3 linked regions of the Bombyx mori genome follow. The protein of the gene in region 1 interacts with the protein of each later gene in a pairwise test. Links are inferred from orthologs where the notes say so. Each region holds a gene or a part of one and is shown in the gene's direction. Other genes may lie near its edges. The genes, in order: DRK, ferritin precursor and protein son of sevenless.

Region 1 (8,738 bases):
AATATTGTTCATGTACTAAATAAGCACTGCAATTGAAACATCAATCTTATTCCGCAAGGTCAGCAGCACAGCTCGAGTAACAGCCCTAATAAGACACTAAGTTGCATAAGCACATATATACAAGCTCAGTATTTACAACTATCCAGTTTGCATATCATATCCAAAAGAAACCAATCACCATACAATAACTGTTTATCCATATACTTATGCAACAAATGATTTTCTCTTCACTGAGCAGACCCTGACCTTAAGTTAAGAAAATCTATTCAAAGATATGTAGAAGTCTAGTTTATGCAGAATTAGAGCTGGACAAAGAATTAGTATTTGGAGGTTAGTGACTGATGAGTTGCTTATGGCACCCCTTGCCAATTCCAAGATAAAGGATAACATAAGTCATTTAAATTCATAAGGTCATTATTAACAAGAAAATTGTTGTACCTGTTCCTTGGCTTGTTGTTCATCCTTTTCACTTTCTTCAGGGTCACGGTAGAAGAACAAATCAACCACAACATCCCAGCGCTGGTCACGGGGAAGCACACCACGAAGCCTCAGCACTTCACGTGCCAACAACCACCACATCAAACCAATAGAGTGGGAAGACTAAAAATAAACCAAATATTGCAAAACTCAGTTGAAAACTATGATTTTATTTTGGTTGCCTCGATGGGAGGACAAGCTCACGGCCCACCTAGTGTTAAGTGGTTACCAGAGCCCATAGACATCTACGTAAATGCTGCCACGCACCTTGAGACGTGAGTTCTAAGTCTCAGGTTTTACAGTACAATGGCTGCCCCACCCAGCCTTCAAACCGAAATGCATTACTGCTTCATGGCAGAAATAGGAAGGGAGGTGGTAGCTACTGGTGCAGACTCACAAGATGTGCTACTACCAGTTCTGATTAGATCTGTCATTATAGCAAAATACATTTGAAAAAATAAACCTTGCTTGATTTGTAGTTGATAAAAAAATTACCTTGGTGTTGCATGGGATAGCAATGTCCACAAATCTTAGTGGGGAGTCTGTGTTGCACAAAGCAATCACAGGAATGTTGACATATGAAGCTTCAGTAATGGGTTGATGGTCTTGTGCAGGGTCCAATACAATCAAGAGACGAGGTTCACGGAATGCAGCTTGGATCTGTTGAGAAAATTCAAATGAATGGGGGTAAATTCAAGAGTAAACTAATTTAGATTGCTAAGATCTACTTTCCAAGATTTCAGAAATAATTTAATCATGCTTGCATTAATGCAATCAGTGGTTCCTTAGTTTGTTTGTCATCATAATATAGTAAGTTTATATGTGTTTAATACATGAAAACAGATCAATGTATTGAGAATTAAAATGTGTGCCTAACAGCTTGTACAGTACCTAATCTACTTTAAAAAGGTGGCAATTTACATATCACACAAAAAAAAAAAACGATAATTCACTCTAAAGGCAGCATCTGCCAAGTAACAACCTTACAAAACTACAAAGACCTTAATACATATGTTTTTCTATTTATTAATTTCTAGTTACTTTCAATGTGTCACATTATTTTTTAAGAAATAATTATAAAAATAAATGTATCAATATTATAATTTACTTAATATTCCCATTTGACTCATGAAAACCTAACATACTTGGGTTGTAGATGAAGTACACTCAATAAATAATTAAATGTCATTACATAGTAACAAATAGTTTAATGGTTTATTACCTGGTTAGTAAAAGCACCTGGTGTGAAACGTCCCGCAATAGGCGTAGCACCGGTGTGCGCGGCAAACTTCAGTACAGCACGCTGACCGAAGGGCCGTGATGAGATGACGAACACATCAGCGGGGTTCTCGATGGCTACGACAGCACGAGCAGCCAGAACAAGTTTTTCCCAGGTACGACGCAAGTTGATCACATGGGTACCATCAGCACGTCGTTTGTAGACATAGGTCTCCATCTGTTTTGCAACATTTTCTTCAAATACCACTCATTTAAAGCAGAGCTTATTATTAAGTAATTGAAGCTCAGTTGGGAGAATTAATCGTCATACAATAATCAGAATAAAATGGAACGGATTCTCTTATCATCATGGTTTTGTTAGGTTATGTTTATAACAGATTTGAATATTTTTGTATGTATTTACCTGGAAGTTAACATTTTCTGCCCCAAGATGGGTGGTTGCAGCAAGCATTTTGGTGACATCTTCCTCGTTGAGGGCGAGCACGTCTAATCCTCCCGACATCGTTGCGCTTATTTGAGTTACGACTAAACCTGAAAAATCACCACACGATTAATTGACAATGTTCGTATTCAGTGATCAAATACTGATAATTTACTCTTGTTTATTAAACATACATTTTGATCACACAACACATTAAAAGTTCTATTAAACGATGTAAAAACAATTTTTCGATTTATTACTTACGCGTATAATGCCACTGGGAGGCGAAATGGACTTAAAGAAGTGTCAAATATGTCAATGAAAACTAGTTGTCAAAGTTGTCCTTGGACTAGAATTCAAACAAGCAAAGAAAATAAAGCTTATACTATACACAAAAATCGAAGCCATACCTCTTCAGCAAAAACTAAAGAATTTTGTCTAAATTAGCTTTCCTTCAGATTATGAATAATAATATCATGGATTTTCAAAGGTTATCGTTTAATTGAAATTAATTAATTTGTCGTCTGAATTCTTATTGTAATGTCCATAAAGTTTGATAGTAATAATACACAAAAAAGAAGAGAGGTTGAGGAGGTTAAAAGATAAAATACAACGTGTACGTTTGACGTGTTATGTATCCCAGATAAACGAATTTTTGAAATTATACTTCAATAAATAAAATAATAGTTTACTATTTTAACTTAGTTTTATTTTTACTTTAACGGAAAATAAGTAGAAATGACTTAGCTTGCGATTTTTTGTTTCCCAAATTATGTACATAGTTATCTTTTAAAATCAATTTATTTTAAAGAATGTCAGCTGCGTAATATAACGTTATTATATTTTTAATCAAACTTTTCTAATTTTATTATACATTTTTTTGGTTTTATGTATTTATTTGCTTTCAAATTAAGAAAGGAGAATTAGCAAAATTGTATTTTTGTAAGCAGATTTTTTATTATGAATTTTTCAAAATTAATTTTGCAGTTGTAAATAAAATTAAGTACATGCTATTGCCCTTATTTTTTTGGATAGCAATAAACTGTTTCTGTTTGGCAAAAATATGTTACAATTTACTGATTATAGTCCTCCATTTAAGTGGTAATTATTTCACGTATCGGAACTTTTGTATCATATTAAACTTGATGCCGGCTAGAAAGGCAAAGGCAGTTATTACTAGAATCCAATTGCTAGTTTGAACCTCATGTCATAATTTGGCATTCATGTTTTGATGTCTATGAGCTTCGGTAACCACATCAAACTAGGCGGGCTTTGATCTCGCTCACGCGTTCAAGCAAATAAATAGCAAAAATAAACACAACAGTAACGAAATGTAAAATAGTGATTATTTGTAAGATAATATCGATGAAGTTAAAGAATATTTCATCACAACCACAATATTTAAAAAAAATATGGTGCGTGTACAACTTGGTGCACGTGAAAAAAGGGAAACTTCTTTTGTGGTGTGTAGTATTGTGGTTTTCTTCATTTTTCATCTTTAAATCAAATTTCCCCATTAATAAGGAATGCTATATATAAGATAAACTATCTAGCTCACTTTGTCCTTTCCCTCTCTCCACGGTCGAGTGGTTCATGAGACGCTCTGTCTATTTTCTCACTCTCGGTCTTCCTTAATGAGAAATATGTATATGCTGAAAGTGAAAAAAAATTAGCCAAGTTACCATTCAGGCAATATCATTTTGTGGTCTTTAATGGCAAGTCGTCCTTCGTCCATAGTCGTCCTTCTAGTCTACATTCTGCTGAAAAGTTTAAATTTAGACCTAAGTTTTGATGGCAATTCGTCTCTTAAACTTAGTTGGGGCGTCTGAATCTAAATCTTTTAGTCAATTTCAATATTTTCATAATGAATTAGGTTTTTAAATTCATCTACATGTTTTACGAATCCTTATAGTAGACGATTCTTATAAGTGAGATCCAATTCAAATGTAGAATGAATTTGTTTTTAGTCTTTACAGGTAAAGTTGATGTTATGTTCCTTGCCAGTATCAAAAACACACATGAATGCAAGTAAATTTTCGAGCTAAAAACACAGCTGCAAAGTGGCAACATTTTGATTTTTTTGTCAATTTGTAAAGTGAGTGATGTGTTGAGTACAGACGGATTCCGATTGGGTTTTTCTAAATTTGTAACTAAAACGCATCTTTTTTATTCAACATTGTGAGACAATACGTGCATTATGATTATTTTACTTCCTTGACATTAGACATTTTGGAAAGTTTGTGTACTTTAAGAGTTATTTTTAAGAATTCGGTGACATTTCAGTGAAGTGCCTAATTTGATCATGGAGGCTCTAGCAAAACACGATTTTACTGCAACCGCAGATGATGAGCTCAGTTTTAGAAAAAATCAAGTATTAAAAGTAAGTTAAATATTTATTTAACTTTTTGTTTTGTTTAATACCTAGCGATAGTTCTTTCTAGAATGGTTCCTATTGCAGATTCTAAACATGGAGGACGATATGAACTGGTACAGAGCTGAATTAGACGGGAAAGAAGGGCTCATTCCTAGTAATTACATACAAATGAAAAATCACAGGTAAGTGGGATATCTAATATTTCTAGTCTTAAAATTATAACTGATACTTATAACGATTTTAAAATATTCTTAATTAAAATAACCAGTTTATTTTTGACTTAGGTTTTATTTGTGAAAGCAAGAAGATATTGCTCTTGTGTAGCTATGTAGAGATCTCAGATAAAATTTAGAAAAAGAATGTTTTCATTTCATTCCAAACATTTGCTGAAGAAAACTGATAATGTAAACATTGTTTGTTTATAATTAAACTTGGGCTGGTCTACTCATTTTTATTTACATTTAACTACTATGGTATCCGGAGAGTGTTGCCAAACCTAATCTACAAAGTCATTTCATTATTCTTTAGAAGAAGAACATACAAAATGAATGTTATTTATAGATACACAACAGAAATTTCATGTAACTTACCAGCTGCCACTAAACTAATCAACAAATGTTTGTTTACATTACCAATTGTAATAATAAAAGCCAAAGTGTCTTTAAACATATGAAGTGTATTTTGAAAGGAGAAAACAATATTTGATTTCAAAGTAAATTATAAATTTGGTGTATTTTTTATTACACAATTAAGAATTACGAAAAGTGCTTTTTTTATTTGAGTACTAAACTTTATTTCATGATTCTCAATGAGAAAAGATTTGAATAGATAGAAGGTAGTTATTAAACATATATTAAAGAGAATGGTCTCTTCAACTAGAATCTGATTATACATCAGAAATAAACCTGTTGATTTTGTAAGTGCTAATGCTTTGCCAAGCAATAAAATTAATGTGAAGGCTATGCCTGAAGTGATACAAATGCTCCTTTAATTCATAGTGTTGAGTAGTACTATAATATGAATGCAGAACATACTACCATGACCACCTAATTTGAGATGTGAGATGCAGTATCAATTGCATTGTGATAATAACTGTCCTAAGGTTCAAACCTAAAGGCACAATTGCTGCAAGACAAATATGGTATACAGAGACACACATACAGTGTATGCTTACAGCATACCTGACCACCAAAAACTACTATTAGTAATAATAGTAATAAAAATTCTAAATATTTGTAGAACATTTACTTATTTTTTGTTTATACCTTACTGGTGTATTGTGTGGTGTATATTGTATCAGCTAGACTGGAAGAGAAATCTAAGCACATCCAGTGCATCGACTTAATGAATTGGATGTCAGAATGAGGTCACAAACCACCTTGTGTCAAGTAGTTACAGGAGCTTATAGATATTACGGTGTAAATTCTCACTATCCACCAGTTTTAAGGATTAAAAACTGTCTTGGGACATATTAAAAAAAAACCATAATTTTTAAGTAATTATTAATTTGAAAATAGTAAGTATTTGTATTTTAAAGGTGTGCCTACATAACCTCTCTTTTTCAGTTGGTATTATGGGCGTATTACAAGAGCAGATGCAGAAAAACTCTTAGCAAACAAACCTGAAGGTGGCTTCTTGATAAGGATCAGCGAATCAAGCCCTGGCGACTTCTCCTTATCAGTCAAGTAAGTCCTTTGTATTTTTACATGTAATGTTTATTATTTTTCACAGTAATAATAATCATTATTTATTATTTCTCTTTTAAAGTTATAGTACAAATACAAATAGAGATTAACCTTACAATTTATTTTGTTAGCCTTTGAAAGAACTGCAGTCTGTACTAGGTTCAAAGACCTGTATTACTGATCTCCAGGCTCCCTGCTTCTTAGGATAGATTAGGCTAGGTTAAGTCATGAACAGATGTCGCAGACTAAGTGTTGAGAGATCATTAGGTGTTATCATTTAAGTAGATATCAGTAGTTATCATTCCAACAGAAGACCGTTCATTATTATTATTTAAATAAACAATTTTATCTGGATGGAATGTTTTCTGTATGTTTGCATGTAAATAACTTAGTGTTTCTCTAAATGTTTTATCAATAGAGTCTATTAGTAATAAAATAAAAAGCTCCCTTATGTAATACTTATAAAACTAATATTGTATGTATATAGTATATTACAGCTTATAACTAAGGGAAAATTGTCTTTGTCTTAACAGAAAAATACATTATAGCAATGCTATCTAAAAATATATATTGGAATCACAATAACATTTACATTTTAAGTTCAGGTGAATGACCAGCATTTGCATCCACGGGTCACTGCAGTATAAATAAAGTAAATGAAGAGTAAAAAGAACCATCTATAGTCTTATGCAATTTAACATTGAAAAACCATTATAAGATAAATGTATTTAGGACGTCAGAAAATGTAATGTGTAAATAAATACTTTGTAAATGTAGTTTTAACCATGTGTGCGAATTCTAAAACTGAGTGAATATTAAAACATTTTATCTATTCATGGAAGGTTGGTCATAAGATAGATAGAGAACTTGATAAATTCAGAATTTTTCTTATCTCAATAATAAGAAAAATACACCATCTGAAATACGTACAAATAAATACATTCCATCCTTATCAAATTTTCTAGAATGACTAAACTTTATTTCCTTCTACAGTCAACAATAAAGAAAAAAAACAAACTATGACAAATACAATACTACTCATTTTACTTGTAAAGCTGTAAAATTTACCTCATATTCATCATGTGAACTAGTTCTGTTGAGTTTCTGTAGGCTTCTGTAATCACTTAACACCAGATGGGCCGTGAATCTGTTCACCCATCTGTTCAGCTAAAATAAATTGTTGTTGTAATAAATAATTGTTTTAAAATTATGTCACAGATCCATTTGGATAGACGGCTCTTTCTGTGTTTGTACTGTGTGTGCTATGGAGATGGATATTTATTGTTTATTTGCATGGACGAACTCACAGCCCTCCTAGAGTTAAGTGGTTACCAGAGCCCATAGACATCTACAACGTAAATGCCCCCCCACTCACCTCGAGACAAGAGTTTCTAAGGTCTCAAGTACAGTTACAACGGCTGCCCCACCCTTCAAACCGAAACGCCTCGCTGCTTCACGGCAGAAATTGGTGGGGTGGTGGTATCTACCCGCGCGGGCTCACAAGGGGTTGTACCACCAGTAATTACGCAAATTATAATTTTGCGGGTTTGATTTTTATTACACGATGTTATTCCTTCACCGTGGAAGTCAATCGTGAACATTTGTTGAGTACGTATTTCATTAGAAAACTTGGTACCCGCCTGAGATTCGAACACCGGTGCATCGGTCAACACGAATGCACCGGACGTCTTATCTTTTAGGCCACGACGACTGATAAAATGCTCCTGGCATTGCTGACATCCATGAGTGACGATCTACCTATAAAGTATAAAGTAAATACAATAGCATGTAATCGTTTACAAGTCGCAAATTTCTAAACTCGGCTTTTATATTAATGGAAACTAATTTCGAAAGTAAAAAATCTACGCTAAGTTACGAATTCCTACTTATCTACTACAGCAATGAAAACATTGCAATTTTTCAGGCAGTTTGCCTTTACATCACATTATCTATATATTAATACGTGAAGCAAAAATTTTGTATCCCTTTTTACGAAAATTGCGCTGACGGAGGAGACTGAAATTATCCACACTTATAGAGAATATAGAGAAGAAGTGCACAATGCTAATATTTTTTAAAACTAATGCATAAAAGATACATTAAATCAATAAAGAAAACATTACACACACCACATACCATGTATTTGACGCACACACGCATGCATACTATATTGTCAAACTTTTGTTCTTGACGTCTTTGGTCAAATTTTTTTATTTTTTTTTATTGCTTTTTGATGGATGGACGAGCTCACAGGCCACCTGGTGTTAAGTGGTTACTGGAGCCCATAGACATCTACAACGTAAATGCGCCACCCACCTCGAGATATAAGTTCTAAGATCTCAGTATAGTTACAACGGCTACCCCACCCCTCGAACCGAAACGCATTGCTGCTTCACGGCGGAAATAGGCGGGGTGGTGGTACCTACCCGTGCGGACTCCCAAGAGGTCCTACCACCAGTGATTACGCAAATTATAATTTTGCGGGTTTGATTTTTATTACACGATGTTATTCCTTCACCGTGGAAGTCAATCGTGAACATTT
Region 2 (8,738 bases), on another chromosome or scaffold:
TCAAGGTGGGTGGCGCATTTACATTGTGGATGTCTATGAGCTCCAGTAACCACTTAACACCAGGTGGGCTGTGAGCTCGTCCACCCAACTAAGCAATAAAAAATTTTTTTTTTTTTATCAAGATTCGATCAGTAATTTTTGAGTTATCCATAATAACACATGTACATATAATTGACTTCTACTAAACTGATTGCATTCTCTTTTTCTTGGCATAAAAACGGTTTCCTTTTTTTATTATAAATTTGTATAATTTATTCCAACAAGTGATCTATTACACACAAAATGTTGAAGTACAGAGTACCATAGATATTTATAATGATTCTGTTTATTTTGGGCTCAACAATTAAAGGGTGTTAGATAGTGTAAAACAAAGAACTACATCTTAGATAGTAAAAACATAATCACAAATTCTAAATGTCAATATGTAGTAGATTTTATAGAAATCCGATAATTAAAAATCAAGTTAGGGAAATGGCAGACAAACAAGCAAATACCACAAAACATACTACAGTGTGTTTTTATCTTTATCTTTTACAATTATTATCTTTAATAGCTCATTAATCACAGTAGACTCGGATTAAATCACAGTATTACAAAGTATTATTGGTGTAATTTGTTATCTGTTGTAATCTCGCAATTAAAGATACCAAAAATTTATCAACTCATATTGGTTGGCCCGTATTGAACTATTTATCTTGTCATCAGAGTAATTGTGTTTTGATATGCAGAAGTGATTTTTATTTGTGGAAACAGTCGTTTGTACGACGTGTGTTTGTCGTGTGCCCCAGTAGGCAAAAGAGTGTTCCGCCCGCCTGGTGGTGAGTGGCTACAGTCGTTTTGGACATCACCAATGCCTACCAGCCCTACCACATAGATACTACTGTAATAAGCCTTTGTTGCAACCCCAATCATATAATGTATTTTTGAGTGACAGCAGTGTTATACAATACGGTTGAGGTTTCGACCTCACGTCTCAAATGACCCCTTAACACTAGGTACGTCGTGAGCTCATCTACGAATTTACATCTAAAAAGACAATTAAATGAGATTACATACATACTGCGTAGAGAGGTCCCTCACAGATTGAAACAAAGTTCTACTTAAGGGTCATGAGCGGTGGTGACCACTTACCATCAAGTGACTCAATGGCAAAAAAACGCTTCTTTCTAATAATCTTTATATTTGCGTTTTAATGCATTATCTACACTGTTGTAGTTATTGTATTTAATTAGAAGACATATTTAGTATTATAATAATATGTATTTAATAGGTACCCATTCAGTTCACGATTCGCTTTAATCAACTATACAAATCACAAAGTGTTAGTAACTATTTGTCAAACTACCCGGCGCCATATATTTGCGATAACTAAAAAAAAAAATCCTGGAAATTCTAAAGTTGAATTTTAAATCTATGGAACGTCTAAATGGCGAATAAAGACATAGGTAGGTACTCATAAACATTAGATACGTTTAACAAGTTTAATAGTATTAAAAAAAAACACCATCACTTGATTTTCACAAAATACCGAATAAAACATTGAAATCAAAATGTTCGACATTTGAATATGAAAGAACACCTACAAATTAAAATAATTGCTAGAATCTTATCGACTACGCTCTAGCTAATATAAGTTTAAAAAAATATATATACGTTTACGAATCATTAATATTGATTTACGATTTACGCACACGATCGAAAAGATTTATTTTTTGCTTGAAATAGGCATCAAACCTAGTAAAATTAAACGCCCAACACAAAACGTTAAAAACAAAATCATATCACAAAAAAAAATCGGTTCGTTCAGTTGCTGTTATAAAAATTAGGCTGCATGCGTAGTTTCTCGAATATTTTAAACTTTTTTTATTGATTAGCATCTAGGAAATAAACAAATACGAAACAAAAATAAGCGAACAAAAAAATTAAAAAATTCTCACCGATTTATTTAGTGGCGAATTCTCGAAAAAATAACAAGTGCGTTTGACGTATGTCGAAAGTACTGCCTTTACACACACTGGCGCAGAAGGCGACTTCCAACAATGACTCGTCTAGATGAAAACGTCCGCACAAAGACAACAGATTGTAATTTATTTTAATATTTTATCAGCGTTACGATTGACAGCGGGTTAGTCGCAAAATCGAACACAAAATAAATTAGTCATTCCTCGTGAAGCTAGTCGCAGTATACAGGGATGTCAAATTTAAAATTAAATCTCCCATGTGCCATGATAACCAACCTAGTTTATCGCTATCCCTTTCTACAGTAAAAAATGTAAATTCAAAAACAATACCTCTGTGTCCTTGACGCAGTAATATTTTTATGATATTGTTGGTTAAATTTCCTAAAATATAATTTTAAAAGGCCAGCAATTTAACTGTTAATGCCTTACTGAATTTTACAAATCTGCTCAAAAAAAAGGAACACTTTTAATGCTGGTATTAAAATCAATAAGTGGGAATCTCTCCATCTCGCTATTCTCGTTTTCCTTCCCCCTCGTCCGAAATGTTTTTTGTGACGTAACCTCGAATGTTGAGGTTTTGTGTTCCGAGAAATTTCTTTAATATCGATTTTTTTACAAATAGCTAACTTTAATGTTCGTTTTATTTCCTTTTTAAGCATAAGAATAAATAATTACGCATGAAAAATAATCGTAAACTTGATTTTTATGTTTTATTCACTTCAAAATCATAAAAATATTCCATTGTCAACCTTGGAACACGAAACCTCGTAGTCATGACTCTTTTCTTTGTTGTGCAATGTAGGTTATTTCCATCTCGCTCGCTCACATCACTCGCTGTCAACACGGGATGGCCGCCTTATCGCTGCGCAGTTCATTATTTAGTTCAATTCAAAGTGACATACGCGAATAGGACTTATTTATTTGAATTTCCTGCGAATTATAAGTCGCCTTCTGCGCCAGTGTGTGTAAAGGCTTGACTTATACAACTACTGCTTTCACGAGCGCATATTTTTTTGAGTATCGTCAAAGAATCTGTGATTATAAGAGAAATTAAGATGAGGGCTGTTTTCTTTGCTGTCCTCGGACTCGTTGCTGCCCTAGCTCCTGCCACAGCTACACAGTGTGAGTACCGAAACATATTCTTACCTATTCCTTCTGTTTTTTTCTAATTTATATGATTTTCCGATTGACTCCTTTGTCGGGTAGGTTATACGAGGTACAATAAAGTTCTAGGCGCTTCCAAAAATCGATATAAGCGTTTTTCTTCTGTAGTGTCCGAATTTTAATTAATGCTTTTAAAATTAATAATTAGTAGCATGCTTAAAAAATGAAATATATAATTATAGAAACGAAATTCATATACGCGCCGTGCTCAGAAACGAAAGGCAGTATGTGCCATTTTATTTATTTAATGATGATCAGGAAGTAATTCAATCAAGGCCTTCAATTCAAAATCAGATGTTGTTTTTATGTTGTTACAAAATCTAACATGGGACAGGAATAGGAATAGGAACTCATAAATGTCGGAAGAAATGGTGCTTGCTATCTCTTGAATCGTTTAAGAGATTTCGTTTTTGGAAAAAAAAACACCTAGCATATTAATTACCAGACAGTTGTGTTATTCGTGAATTGCTTATTTAATTGAATTTTGTTCAACGCGTACCGTCATTTGTTTTTCCAAGTCGCCATTTAGCCAATGTTGAAGTTTCTACATTAAGTTCGACTATGAAGTCGGAAGCGGTGCATGTATCAAATATCAATTCTGCCTGTTCACTCTAAGAGAGTGAGAGAGAGAGATAGAAAAAGAATACACTTTTTTTTTTCACACCAAAACATATCGAGGGATGTAAATCTATTTGGTTTAAGCGACATTTCACTTAAATACGCGCAATTTATTATTGTAATTAAAGGTGCGTTTTATTCCAAATAAAACGCACGAAAATTCAATTAAAAACATCGAACTGTTGATGTTAATACCAATATTAACATCAACAGTTCGATGTTTTTAATTGAATTTCAATTAAGCTATTTTTTTCTAATGATATGTATGAAATGTCGCTTACACGAAATTGCCTTTCACCTATCGTTTTAACATTGGAAAACATTCCACAGACAGATATACATAATTTTATATTAGGCGGTCTTATCGAGCGATCTCTTCCAGACAAGCGTTTTTATTTAGAGGAATTTTGAAAAGATACGGCGAGTTCGTTGCGGGTACAAAAAAAAAAGAATAATAATTAAAAAATTTATTTACTACATATAATAATAATATGAAGTAATTATATGACTTGCTTACCAATTTACTTTCGTTTATATAATAAATCGATAGTTTGCTTAAAGTTAGGTAGGCAGCGGCTTGGCTCTGCTCATGGCATTGCTGAAGTCCATGGGCGATGGTAACCACTCACCAGGTGGGCCGTATGCTCGTGTGTCTACAAAGGCAATAAAAAAAGTTAAATACATTTTTTTATCGAACACTAGCTGACCCGGCAAACTTCGTAGTGCCTCAATCGATAAATAAAAGACCTAAACTTTTGACCTTTGAAACTGAGACCTTAGAATTCATATTTCAAAGTAGGTGGCGGCATTTACGTTGTAGATGTCTATGGGCTCCGGTAACCCCTTAACATCAGTTGGGCTGTGAGTTCGTCCACCCAACAAAATCACAAAAACATAAAAAACAAAGCGTCGCGACAGATCTTGTAAACTGACCTCATGTCTCAAGGTGACGTTTACTTTGAGGTCCGACCGCTTACTATCAAAACCGCACGCGTCTCCGACCCGAAGATCGCACGCTTATGATCAGATGAGCTATCTGCTCGTCTAAATAGAACGAGGCGACGTGTTTAAATGTCTTAAGAAGTACTAGGCTGACATAAACGTAAGGAGCTCTCTTTGAATGCGCTTTAGTACTGTGAACCGCTTCGAACAGGCCCTACGCTACTTCGAACAGGCCCTAGGCTGAGACTACGCCCACTGAGTTTCTCGCCGGATCTTCTCAGTGGGTCGCGTTTCTGATCCGGTGGTAGATTCTGCGAAGCACGGCTCTCGCTAGAGCCAGTGTTAGCAACGCCTGGTTTGGGCCCCGAGAGCTCACCTACATGTTAGGCTTACGCGGACAAGAGCCTCTCAAGAATATCAGCTTAGGTAGGAAAAAAGTGAGTCCTCATGGGCAGGTGCCATATTCTACCGCGAATCAGTCTTAGGATTCAGTTGCCCAGAGATATTCTTTGAGGGTTTTGATCAATAAAACCAGTATCGGCCGTGAAATTGTAAACTGCAGTGTCAACAACATCTTAATCCCGTGACTGCCCTGTAGGTCACCGGTGCCCTACGCGGCGCACTGAAGTAATTACGTCGATTTCTGTTACTAAGGATTGCCTAGCATTGCCTTTATTTGTTTGTCAATGCACGTTTTAGTCTTTTAGAAATGGATTCGGTGTCAGTATTTTCGGATTCATCTTTCCCAGAGTCTACTAGATATTCCGGCGCCTTCTTTTTTTCTTTCTTTTTTCCCTACCTATTCGCTGGTGGCCTAAGAGGCTATTTCAGCTACGCAAGGACGGGTAGGTGAGCTCACGGGCTCAATCTGAGAAAATTTGCTAACACTAATCCTAGCAAGAGCAGTACTTCGCTGAATCTACCACCGGATCGAAATCGCGATCACGTAAACTGCAGAGTGTCGAAAACATCTTAAGCATGAATTCTAAGTAAACCCTATAAGTATACAAGATAAAAAAGATACCATCGGTATTCTTTGATAGTTTCTCTACCTGCCATACAAGGGCCTATTTTAAGGTCGGACGATAATACCCAATATGCGGATACAGAAAAAACAGATACAAAAGACGCTAGTAGCCGCCATTTTTCTTTTGTTGAGCCACGAAATGAATTGTAAACGCTATTATCGAAGGAATTTTTATACGATTTTCGTAAATGCTTTCTTGATATTTTGGCTGTTGCCAGCGCCATCATCACGGGTTGGGAAGACTGCCGATAGGATGCTAGGAGCAGACAAATCCAGAAAATACTGGTAGACTTTTTGGCGGCAATGCTTAGTGTAATGAATTTGTTAATGGGGGCTTATTACTCGTTTAACATCTATGGACGTCCATGAGTTTTGGGAATTCGAAATAAAATACTTAAAATTCCATTTTAATGTTTGTACCAGTTTGTACCACATATATGTTTGCTATTTATAACAAAAGATTTGGCCGTATGGACTACGTTCCCTTTCATATGTGTAATGGAGAAAAAAAAGTCGGTAGATTCGTGTTTCGAACAAAACACAGACAAAAAAGAAATCCGTTTTTTTTTTCTTAATTCCATATACTTTATTTGGGCAGACGGTACACGTTACAAAGAATCCTAAAAAAATGTATCCTAAGAAATGATTTGAGTGATCTGACTTGGAACAAAAAGAAAATGCGTACTGCAAAAGAATAATTACGCGGACTAGCTAAAAATAACTTGTAATTAATACGCGCGTTACGCGAATTAAAACTTTGCAGTTGTATAAATAAGTGCCATTATCTGATGCTGTTTGCATTTAATTCCCACAATACCTACTTACCGGCTAAATCTTATCAAAAGAAACGGTATAATTAACGTATTGAAAAAAATATATATATGGTAAAATATTATAAAGTAGCGTGGAAATAACATGTTTACCAAAACATTCATTTTACTATCATTTAAATGAATGATATAGATAGAGCGTAAACAAAAATTATAATTATTGCATGTATTGAATTGTATAAGAAAACCATATAAGTCTTAAATTTGCATTAAATACGTGCGCGACAAATAGATGAATAACTCAATAACTCAATATCACGCCAACCGATTTCGATGATTATTGTTTTTAGTGTATATTAATTTGTTTTGGAATAAAAAAAATTCTATTTAAAGTCTGTTTCTCTTAAAGCATGTCTATTTACAATTGTTAATAAGTCAATAATAACATTTAAGTATAAATAACAATTTAAAAGTTACTAGTGGTCGCCCAGTAGTCAAAATTCGGCTATAATTTTTTGTTTCAATTATAAGTTTGAACACTATTATGGTTTATAGTCATTTTAAGTTTAAATTATAATTATTATGGTTTTATTGTCAAGATTTTACTTCTGTAATTACAGATTTCGCCAAGGCTACACTATAGACAAATAGTATTAAAAAAAAACAATAGATATTAATCGATTCTCGGTATTAATCGATTCTCAATTTGACCACAGACTTTAACAATAAACAAAAGAGTATTTAAGCGTGTGTGTGTCAAATGCATGGTAGTGTGTGTAATGTTTTTTTATTTTTTATTGCTTAGATGGGTGGGCAAGCTCACAGCCCACCTGGTGTTAAGTGGTTACTGGAGCCCATAGACATCTACAGCATAAATGCGCCACTCACCTTGAGATATAAGTTCTAAGGTCTCAAGTATAGTTACAACGGCTGCCCCACCCTTCAAACCGAAACGCATTACTGCTTCACGGCAGAAATAGGCGGGGTGGTGGTACCTACCAGCGCGGACTCACAAGAGGTCCTACCACCAGTAAAAGTTTTTGCTTCACGTATTAAAGTATAGATTTTGCCGGGAATTTAGCATTCATTTTTCTATTTTTAACTTAAAATGTTTTTATAAAATACTTTTCAATAATTCTTTCGCATTTTCTGCAAAATATGCGAGTCAAAGTGTTAAGTAATATTATACTAGGATGAATATAGTACTATTAATTTCCCGAATAAAAAAATAAACACAAATTCAATTTCAATGAGTCCTCTATCGGCTGCTGGCTTCGTCGCATCTTGGTTTGATACACGTCAATAAAACAAATATGGCTCTTTCTAGAAACACAACGATACAATCTCACAGCGTGAGCTTCAAAACAAGATGGCGACTGCACAATACCGCGAAATCCTCGTGACGTAATTAATATTTTTCAATATTACTTTACTGTTTGTCTTTTAAAGAAAATTTGGTAATGTAAAGTTTAACCGAGTGCAAAAAGAAGGAGGTTCTCGATTCTACCAAATTATTTATAGAACTTTTCTGAGTCGATCTAGATGATTCTTTTTTGTTTGAGAGCGGGTGCTTCTCCTGTGGTCCCGTTTAAATTTTATCAAGACCTGAGCTGTAATATTCGCGTTATTCCAAATAATAAATATCGAAGGATGAAATAAAATAAATTTCGAGGCTTAAGCGACATTTTTGCAGCTTTACAGGGGCTTAAAGTTGAAGAGAAATTGGAAAATAATACCGTAAAAAAAAAAACTTCTTCAACTATTTGAATAGAGTAAACATAATTGAAGTTCAATTAAAAGCATCGTATTGTTGATGCTAATCTTTATATATATATATTTCTACTGTGTGTGTGTTTGTCACTGAACTCCTAAACGGCTGGACCGATTTTAATGAAAATTTCCGTGTACCTTCTGGTGGATTCGAGAAAGGTTTAGATTCACAAATCAGTCCGGCAGACAGCGCTGCACTCGGTATCTAGGTTATTTATCTTTCCTAGAAATAATTTATAGAGCAAAACAACGTTTGCCGGGCCAGCTAGTACCAAATAAGACAGACCCTTAATTGCAAAGATAAGTGTATTAAGCGAAATGTCACTTAAACCGGTCTTTCAACCCTCGATATTGACTTCTACAACTGCATACATTGACGATATCCTTCCTTATACTTATTTTTGTGGGAGTAACTATCCTTTTTTTGTTTGTTCCAATCTTGCATTAGATGCGTAAATGGTCTCACGTGAAATCAGTCCAAATCGA
Region 3 (8,638 bases), on another chromosome or scaffold:
TACTCAACATATGTTCACGATTGACTTCCACGGTGAAGGAATAACATCGTGTAATAAAAATCAAACCCACAAAATTATAATTTTCGTAATTACTGGTGGTAGGACCTCTTGTGAGTCCGCACGGGTAGGTACCATCATCTTGCCTATTTCTGCCGTGAAGCAGTAATGCGTTTCGGTTTGAAGGGTGGGGCAGCCGTTGTAACTATACTTGAGATCTTAGAACTTGTATCTCAAGGTGGGTGGCACATTTTACGTTGTAGATGTCTATGGGCACCAGTAACCACTTAACATCAAGTGGGCTGTGAGCTTGTCCACCCATCAAGCAATAAAAAAAAAATTGATATAATATGTATAATCGAGGAGCATAGAATATAAAAAAACGGTGCGCGTGAATAAATGAAACTTCTTTTGCGATGTGTACTATTGTGGTTTTGTTCATTTTTCATCCTTAAATCAGATTGCTCTTGTAATAGGGAATGCGGTGTATAAGAGATGCGACATCTTCAACATTAACATTACATATATTTTAATTTATAGACAGAAAAATAAATATATGTACTTTTTTAAATAGTTCATTAAGATATTGGGCGCTACTGGTTGCTAACGCGCGCGCTGGCCTGCACCAGGTGCATACACGAGGCGCGCACTCACTCTCGCTCCGTCTCTTTCTATTCCCCCCCTCCCCAGGAGCGTTGAACGTTTAACGCAGCCTTCTAATGCGACTTCCAACAGGAAGTCGCATTAGAAGTTTCACTTCAAAAACACAATTTTAAAGAAATAACAATTTTTTTTTCGAAATAACTAGACTTCTTTGAAGACGAATAAAAGATTGATTTTTTTTCTTCAGAATTTAACTTTAATAAAAAAATCATGGCCAGATTTACTTAGTTACTTGTGTATTGTATCTTACATAAATTAGGAAGTAAGTAATAAGTAAATTACAAATTCTAGTCTGGTTTTCTTTTCACAGGCATTCCTGGAGTCGCTGGACCCGTTTCCCGGGAAAGACGACATCGAGATCACAAATTATCTGTACAACAAAAGTCTGGAAATAGAGCCCCGGCCGCCGGTCAAACAGATGCCGAAGTATGTAAGTGCCGCCCCCCTCGCCCCGCGCAGCACCCCCGCACGCCGTGACGTCACTACTACCTGATCAATGCTCTCAGTTCAGTAATTAGTATTGAGTTTGGTTAGCGCGAGGCGAGGCGTGTAACTCGGTCTGATTGCAGCCCAGGAAGTACCCGGACCTGTCGCTGAAGCAGGTGAAGGCCAGCCGGAGGAACCAGCACGACCACTCCACCTGCGACGACAACCTCAGTGAGTCCGCGTACAAGTGACCTGACCCACAATTCTTCATATTGATGAAACCTATTCTATCCCTGGTTCCGCCCGTAGACAACAGATGGCGCTGTTCACATTATTTGGCGCGTATCGCTTTTACCTGCGAAGCAGTGTAAAAGTAAATTCGAACCGCGTTATCTTCATACTAACTGTGGTAAGCTTATACCACTTTTGCGCTGACGATCTCAACGGTACTGCTGCCACCCGAGTGGTCATATCGTCGCCAGACTTGTAAACCTCAACTAACAGTCCAACGGGTACCCCACCCTTCAAACCAGATTGCATTATTGCTTCGTGGTAGGAATAGGGTGAAACCACCGGTGGGGGCCCACAAGATCCTCCATCACCAGTGAAAACAATTGGACATAATATTTTTTTTTATGGATTTTATTACCTGGTAACTAAGACCTTTAAGTAATGTCTTATTTTAATTTATATTCTTATTTTTATGAAAAATGATAATACAGAGTGAAATGAAATGAAATTAAGATGATTAATTTGAGACATTAATGTCCGGGATGGAATTAAATGAAATGAGATGATATGGGATGAAATATAATCTCAGTAAAATGGTGGTCATTTACTGAATTTTTTTTTGTGGACTTTTTGGGGGATCCCGAAAATCTACGTCCAGCGGCTTTGTTTCATTTTTCAACATTTGTGCACTTTCACAGATATTAAACACCGTTATTACACATTTAAACCTTAAGAAATACCTAATAGATAAAATAAAACAAATCACACAACTTCACTCCTCGCGTTCCCGCCAAAAAGTCGATTGGACATGACTGTCAGTGTCACTTTGACATGTCAGCCGGCACCCCCGAGTCCAACAATTGTATCACTTACACAACAATTGTGTTACTTATCTCCGCGGCTTGCGTGAGCGATCGTGAGTACTAGCAATAAAACTGACCGTGACCATCCCCCCCTACAGGCGTGTCGCAGCTGTCCCCCACGGGCAGCTCGTGGGACGGCGCGTCGGTGGCGTCGCTGCCCATGCACCACGACGACCACAGAGGTTAGTGCTCGCACACGTTGTACGTCTTACACTAGCCTTGTCCTATGAGCACTCGTGATTACTTGTAAGTGTGCCACGCACATTTCATTAAGGACAATAGACTATAATGTTAACACTCGTTCATATCAAAATAATATTAAGTGTTGAGCCTTCATGAGCACTGACTTAGGTTGGAGCTCACAGATAGTTTTTAAAGCGTCGCCCCCGCAGCCCCCTAGTGGCGCGGTCGACTGAATAGATAGATGTGACCGGGAGAGGGTCGCACACTTCTTTGTTTTAGTGAACTATTAATTATAATTGTTTCTGCGTTTCGTTGAGTCTAACCTTGCGGCGCGTGTCGCAGGCGGCAGGGCGGAGGCCGGCAGCCCCAAGGCCGACGCGCGCTCGCTCAGCCAGCTCAGCCTCTTCGACAAGAAGCTCAGTCTGTTCGACAAGGGCAGGAGCCACAGGTGAGAACCCCCCCGCCCCTGCCCCGCGGCTCACGAGTGATTACTCATGACTAATGAAACTGAATTGTTTGCACAGGAACAGCGAGCCGCCCTCCCCCAGGGACAAGCACTCCCCCAGGCACGACCGGTGAGTGGACCTCGCATTGTGCGTTTCACTAGAGTATTTTTAGCTGTGAGCATTCATGAATGTTCATGAGCATCAATTAATTTTGAATTAAAATGAAGACATTGACTCGCATAAAATGACAACACGCACACACTAGCAACCGTCCCCGCGTTGTCCGCAGGCCGGCGCCCGTCGAGAGAAAACCACAGAACTTATCGCCGCGGAACCCCATCGTCGACGCCGACTCCTTCTACACGAGCCGACACAGCCTCGAGCTCGGCGCCAGGAAGCACGAGGTGAGCGTCGCCCCGCCCCCAAACCCCCGCCCCCAACGCCCCGCCCCGCCCCCGCCCCGCGCTAACCGCACCGTGTGTCCCGCAGAGTAAAGAGGAGAGCGTGCCCCCCCTTCTGCCGCGACACAGCGAGCCACCCCCAGCCCCGCCGCGCCGGATAGACACCCACCATGGTAAGTTGCGCTGTTTTTATCCGATAGTCGGTCGTGAGCGTTCATGAGTATTCGTGGTGTTGTGTATAATGCGTTTCAAATAAGAATACACATGGACCTGCGCCATATTGTGACTTCATAGCCGTCAAATCGAAAAGAATAGGTAAAGTCAGTAAAAAAGTTAGAAATTTTTAAATATCAATTTATAATCCAAATCTTAGAGTTCACCGATTCCACTCATCCCATTGCTTGAGTAATCATCATCATCGTCGCCCATCCATAGATTATATGGCCCGATAGTGTTATAGACTTGATTTTTAAATAGGTGGTGTTTTTTTGAAGTTATACTTCTTTAGGCGCGTTATGAAAAATTTGATGAGAGTGCAATTTTACGACACGCGCGCACCGTGACACAAAATTAACAGAATGAAGTTGCCTACTAAATCGCTCATTACAATACGACCGACGTAACTTGGCGAGTCTGAATATAGCCGCAGGTGAACTTACGCGCATGTACACTCGTAAAAAATGCTACCAACAAAACAGAAATGGAACCTCTGTTAGTGGCGCATGTTGGCACGCACGCCGCCTCTGTTCACTGCGTATTTATGTTTATAATATTTATCCACTTGCTCTGAGTTTCTACATTTAAAACACGTGTTTTCATTTTGTTTTCATTATACAAGTGCGAATTTTATATGTGCGTCTGAATTATAATCAGAAGTGATTTAAATTGAATATTTAAATCAATACTAATTAATATTAGAAAATATTTGTAATTTTGTGTGTAATTAATATTAGAAAACTGTGCTCGTCAACCTTCCTAAGTGCTCCAATACAATTGAGGTTAACTATCCGTATGTATTATTTAGTAATATAAATGACAAAGTTATTATTTAATATAATTCATACTAAATATTATTAAATTATTAACGTTAAATATTTATTATTAATTATTTAATATTAAAAAAAAAGAAATAAATTTAATAAAAATAAAGTATAACTTCTTACGCGCGTACATAAGTACACGCACCCTTTTTTTATATAATCTAAATTAATGTTTAATTAACCTCGACCAGCACTCAAGATATCAAGAAAATTATAGAGGTGTGTATGTTTCATTAAAACAAACATATTAATAGCTTTCATAATTAGACAAAATATTCACTAAAAATAGATTTTTTTTTTTTTGCTGTCCTTACTTTTTTATCGAACTTCAACAGATCAAGGTCACTGACGTGCAAATTCTTATTCGAAACGCTCTATATACGTCATTAGCGAACTTCTAAAAATTTATATATATGAAAAATCTGAGCTATTAATTATACAATTTGATTATGAGCCATGCCCGCCCCCGCCCCCGCCCCCGCCCCCGTGTTGACACTAACCCAACTGTCGGTGCAGCGGCGCCGGGCGAGCAGCCGCCGGAGCCCCCGGACCGGCCGCAGCCCAGCCCCCAGCACTGCGAGCTCCTCAGGTGAGTGCGCGCGACTCCTCCACAGGACCCCTGTTCGACTTGAGGCAAAGGGCGAGTTTTCATTTCATCTCATCCCGTTCCACTCAATTTCATCCCAATCGATTAAAGACTCCAATAAATGAACTGCATCTCATTTATGTATTTTATAGTTAATGATTTTTATAAACTCTACACTGGCAACAATGGCGTTGAAAGCCAATACTTAAATAAAGACGAAAACGTGGTTCCCAAGCGTTAGATTAATGAGCCACCATCTTTTTCAATAAAACCAGGTCTTATTGCGTTAAGTCGATCTAGCCTCGAGGACAATGCAGCGTCCATACTGGTAGTAGGACCTGTTGTGAGTCCGCGCGGGTAGGTACCTCCGCCGGCCCATTTTTACCGTGAAGCAGTAATGCGTTTCGGTTTGAATATCTCAAGGTGGGTGGCGCATTTACGTCGTAGATGTCAATGGGCTCCAGTAACCACATAAAACCAGGTGGGCTGTGAGCTCGTCCACCCATCTCCTCCCTCCGTGCGTCGTATTCCTCAGTTCTGAGGGTCGTGACCTTTACTGAGCACTTTTGTTAGGGCTGTGAGGTTTCGTGATGTTGAGGGTTTACTGTGCGCTCTCCTCCGGAAACCTCATCAGAGTGATCAATAAAATACTGAGTATAATTGTATGTTTATTCGCGTCAGCGACCGCGGTGGATCGCTGCACGTTAACCACTGACTGACTAAAGTATGCTACTCATTACTATATGCACAATAACTGCATAGTAAGCTAAGCGGGGCGGGGTATCATTCCCCTACAGGACTATGTTCCTCCATTCACTTCTGTCCTCCGCGCAGTGGATAGCGACATTGATGTTGGATTCCAAAGTCGTCTTAATCTGATCGGACCAGCGCATGGGACTACGCCCCCTAGGCCTCTTTCCTTCCACTTTGCTGGTGATGAGAAGTCTTTCGACATTGTCACCCATCTAAGCAATAAAAAAAAAAGGTCGGTTCGTAGAATACATATATTGTTATCCTTAGGGGAATAAATTTATAAGATTTGTGAGAAAAAAAAGGCCTAATAACAAAAATAAATACATGTAGAGACGTCAGCTGAACGTAGACTCATTCCTCGGCTCACTGTGTCCGCAGCCGCCCGGTTCAGTTGACACCCCCGCCTGTGGCGCTAAGCTATCCGAGCCTCACTAACCGTCTCCATGGACCTCACCAAACTAGTCCAAAAGACAAACTGGACGCGTTTTTTTTATTTTATTTTTTCCTATGCTGGTAGCCTTGAGGTGAGCTCACGGGCCTCAAATCTAACGACGTTGCTAAAACTGGCCCTAGCAAGTGCTTCGCAGAATCTACCACCGGATCGGAAACACGACCCGGTAAGAAGATCCGGCGAGAAACTCAGTGGGCTGTGTCCCACTGATTTAGCCTACGAGCCCTAGCGACGGGCTTGACGAGAAAGATGATCAGTCCTTGAGGTACTTAAGAGCACCGTTAGTGGATCGGGATGATCTGAAATGACATGGTGGACGTGTGTTCGTTCATCACGACCATGGCACGCTCCCGTGTATCAGCTCTCAACGTCGTCAGAGCTCTCCCAGGCCTGGTGGCTTTTCAAAGCCCTCCGATAATCTCGTGGCGCAGTTACAACGTAACCCGACACTCGGCTGGTCTGTGAAAACGTCGAATCTATTTTCGTAATTGTCACGATAAGTAGCGATAATGGCATGACAAACCAGACTCTGATTGACGAGATATCGTGACCGTGTCAGCAATTACTTACCTAGTTCCTTCCAATAGGCCTTCGTAGGCGACTAGATGATTTACCCGAAATGTAGTTACCGCGAGAATTCCTTAAAAAGCCTCTGTCATATTATTGTCATATCCTAGTGACGTGCTCGAGGCCTCTTCACTGAAGTGCCCCGTGTATATGTATCAAGGATCCTGCACCGTTTACTGGTGGTAGGTTGTATTGAATCCACGCGGATGTGCACAACCGTCCTGCCTATTTGCACAGTGAAGCAGCCTCGTGTTAGCGGCGGGGCATTGTTCACGCCAAATAATAAGCGAGCAAATCGGCGTGCGTTTATTAGTATACAATTCGATAAGGTTTTTATCAAAGTAACACAATACAGTTGCGAACGAATGGGATGTGTCGGCAGAGTTACTCTCGACCTTTCGCAGACCCACAGCGACGCGGAGAGGTAACGTGCCTACTCATTATTTTATTGCGAACGCTTTACTGATTGGTTGGTACGGAAGGAGCTTGCGGCCCACAGACATCACTACGTGTTCGCCGCCCGCACCTTGAGACGTAAGGTCGAAGGTAGGCGACGGAAACAGGCAGGACGGTTGCATCTGCTCGAGTGAGGTCACAGCACCACACCACCAGTGTAGAGTACCGATTATGTTCTAATTTTCAATGATTGTTCTTAATTTGCATCGAAGATGTTGAGTGTACCAGTGGCTCCAGCACTCGCCGCCATCTCTCACCACATTCACTCTTGCACCAAAGATCTCGTAACGATTAAACGACTAGATGTGTCTCACGGTTTCACCCGCGCTTCATTTGTAATTCAAAATGAAACTTGTTGCTTTTCTCTGGGGTAATATATAGTATATTGAGTTGCTTCTCACTCTCCCGTCCATAAACGACCAGTTTTTTTTTTTTTTTTTTTTTTTATGATTGAAGGATTACTGGTGGCCCGGAGGCCTTTCCAGTTTCACCAGGACAGGTGGGCGAGCAAAGGCTCAGCCAGGAGGGGTGGGATTTGCTAACAGCTACCCGAGCGCCTCCGAAGGAGACCTAACAATTCAAGAGCAGCTGCTTCGCGAATGAATCTACTACCGGATCGGAATCGCGACCCGCTGAGAAGATCCGGCGAGAAACTCAGCGAGCTGATTCATGGGTTAGGTTGCACGGCGAACTCTTTGTCGAGTTCGACGAGTACGGTTACCGAGGTCCCTAAGCCTGCTCCTAGAGCTGAAGGCGTCTAGTGCGAAGGTTATTGGATCTGATGGATCCGTAAGGACGTGTCTAGGGCGTCGACGGTGACTGGCTCCTGCATGATCAGGATTCGGGGAGTAGTCAGCGGCGGCTACGATAAGGCGATTATCATGACGCATAGCCTTATCGAAGTACCGTTCCGACGCTGACTTCATGTATTTCTGTATAGATTCGAGGCCCAGGTCGTCGTGTAGGTCAACGTTCCTCACGAACCACGGAGCTCCGACGGCTAACCTGCAAAAGCGGGATTGTAGAGATTGAAGGGTGTCTATGTGCGTGCGGGCCGCGTGAGCGAACACCACACTCGCGTAAGTCATGACGGGCCTTATGCAAGTTTTGTAAAGTGTCACCTTGTTCCGAAGGGACATTTTACTCCGCTTACAAATCATGGGGTAGAGTCTACCGAGAATAAACGCGGCACGGTCACGGACTGATTTTATATGCGGGCGGAATGTCATCGATGCATCCAGGGTAACGCCCAGGTACTTGACCTTCCTGGCCCAGGGTATGGATTGACTAAAGAGAGTAATCGGGGGTGTGAGATTCCTCCTCCTAATACGGGAGGAAATCCGTGCGGAGCTTCCCCTCTGAAAGAGCACCGCAGTACTTTTCGCTGGGTTGATGTCTATGCGCCATTTTCGGAACCACTGTCCTAGGGCTAGGGCTGCGCTCTGAAGCTTCTTCGCGATTAGGGACTTGTTTCTACTGGAATAGTAAACAGTCGTGTCGTCGGCGAATAAAGCTAAATGGGTCGGCGGCGACCGGGGAATATCGTTAACGAATAAGCTAAATAGGAGGGGTGAG

What was found.
Region 2: the proteins of DRK (region 1) and ferritin precursor interact in a two-hybrid assay, tested with the Caenorhabditis elegans proteins (3 studies listed by BioGRID). The link is inferred for Bombyx mori from reciprocal best matches to the Caenorhabditis elegans genes sem-5 and ftn-2.
Region 3: the proteins of DRK (region 1) and protein son of sevenless interact in a two-hybrid assay, tested with the Caenorhabditis elegans proteins (3 studies listed by BioGRID). The link is inferred for Bombyx mori from reciprocal best matches to the Caenorhabditis elegans genes sem-5 and sos-1.

The regions. Positions count from the first base shown.
Region 1 is NC_085123.1:5,829,187-5,837,924, reverse strand, and holds the start of DRK (DRK protein), read left to right. Parts: upstream 1-4,439; coding exon 4,440-4,517; intron 4,518-4,595; coding exon 4,596-4,693; intron 4,694-6,076; coding exon 6,077-6,196; intron 6,197-8,738. Other genes in the region: RpSA (small ribosomal subunit protein uS2), read right to left, coding at 439-600, 973-1,137, 1,700-1,933, 2,120-2,218.
Region 2 is NC_085130.1:11,324,673-11,333,410, reverse strand, and holds the start of ferritin precursor, read left to right. Parts: upstream 1-2,802; 5' UTR 2,803-3,016; coding exon 3,017-3,083; intron 3,084-8,738.
Region 3 is NC_085129.1:21,324,433-21,333,070, reverse strand, and holds part of protein son of sevenless, read left to right. Parts: intron 1-970; coding exon 971-1,090; intron 1,091-1,229; coding exon 1,230-1,317; intron 1,318-2,278; coding exon 2,279-2,362; intron 2,363-2,705; coding exon 2,706-2,811; intron 2,812-2,887; coding exon 2,888-2,938; intron 2,939-3,098; coding exon 3,099-3,213; intron 3,214-3,298; coding exon 3,299-3,383; intron 3,384-4,766; coding exon 4,767-4,839; intron 4,840-8,638. UniProt on the Caenorhabditis elegans protein: Promotes the exchange of Ras-bound GDP by GTP. May regulate signaling pathways downstream of receptor tyrosine kinase, egl-15 and let-23.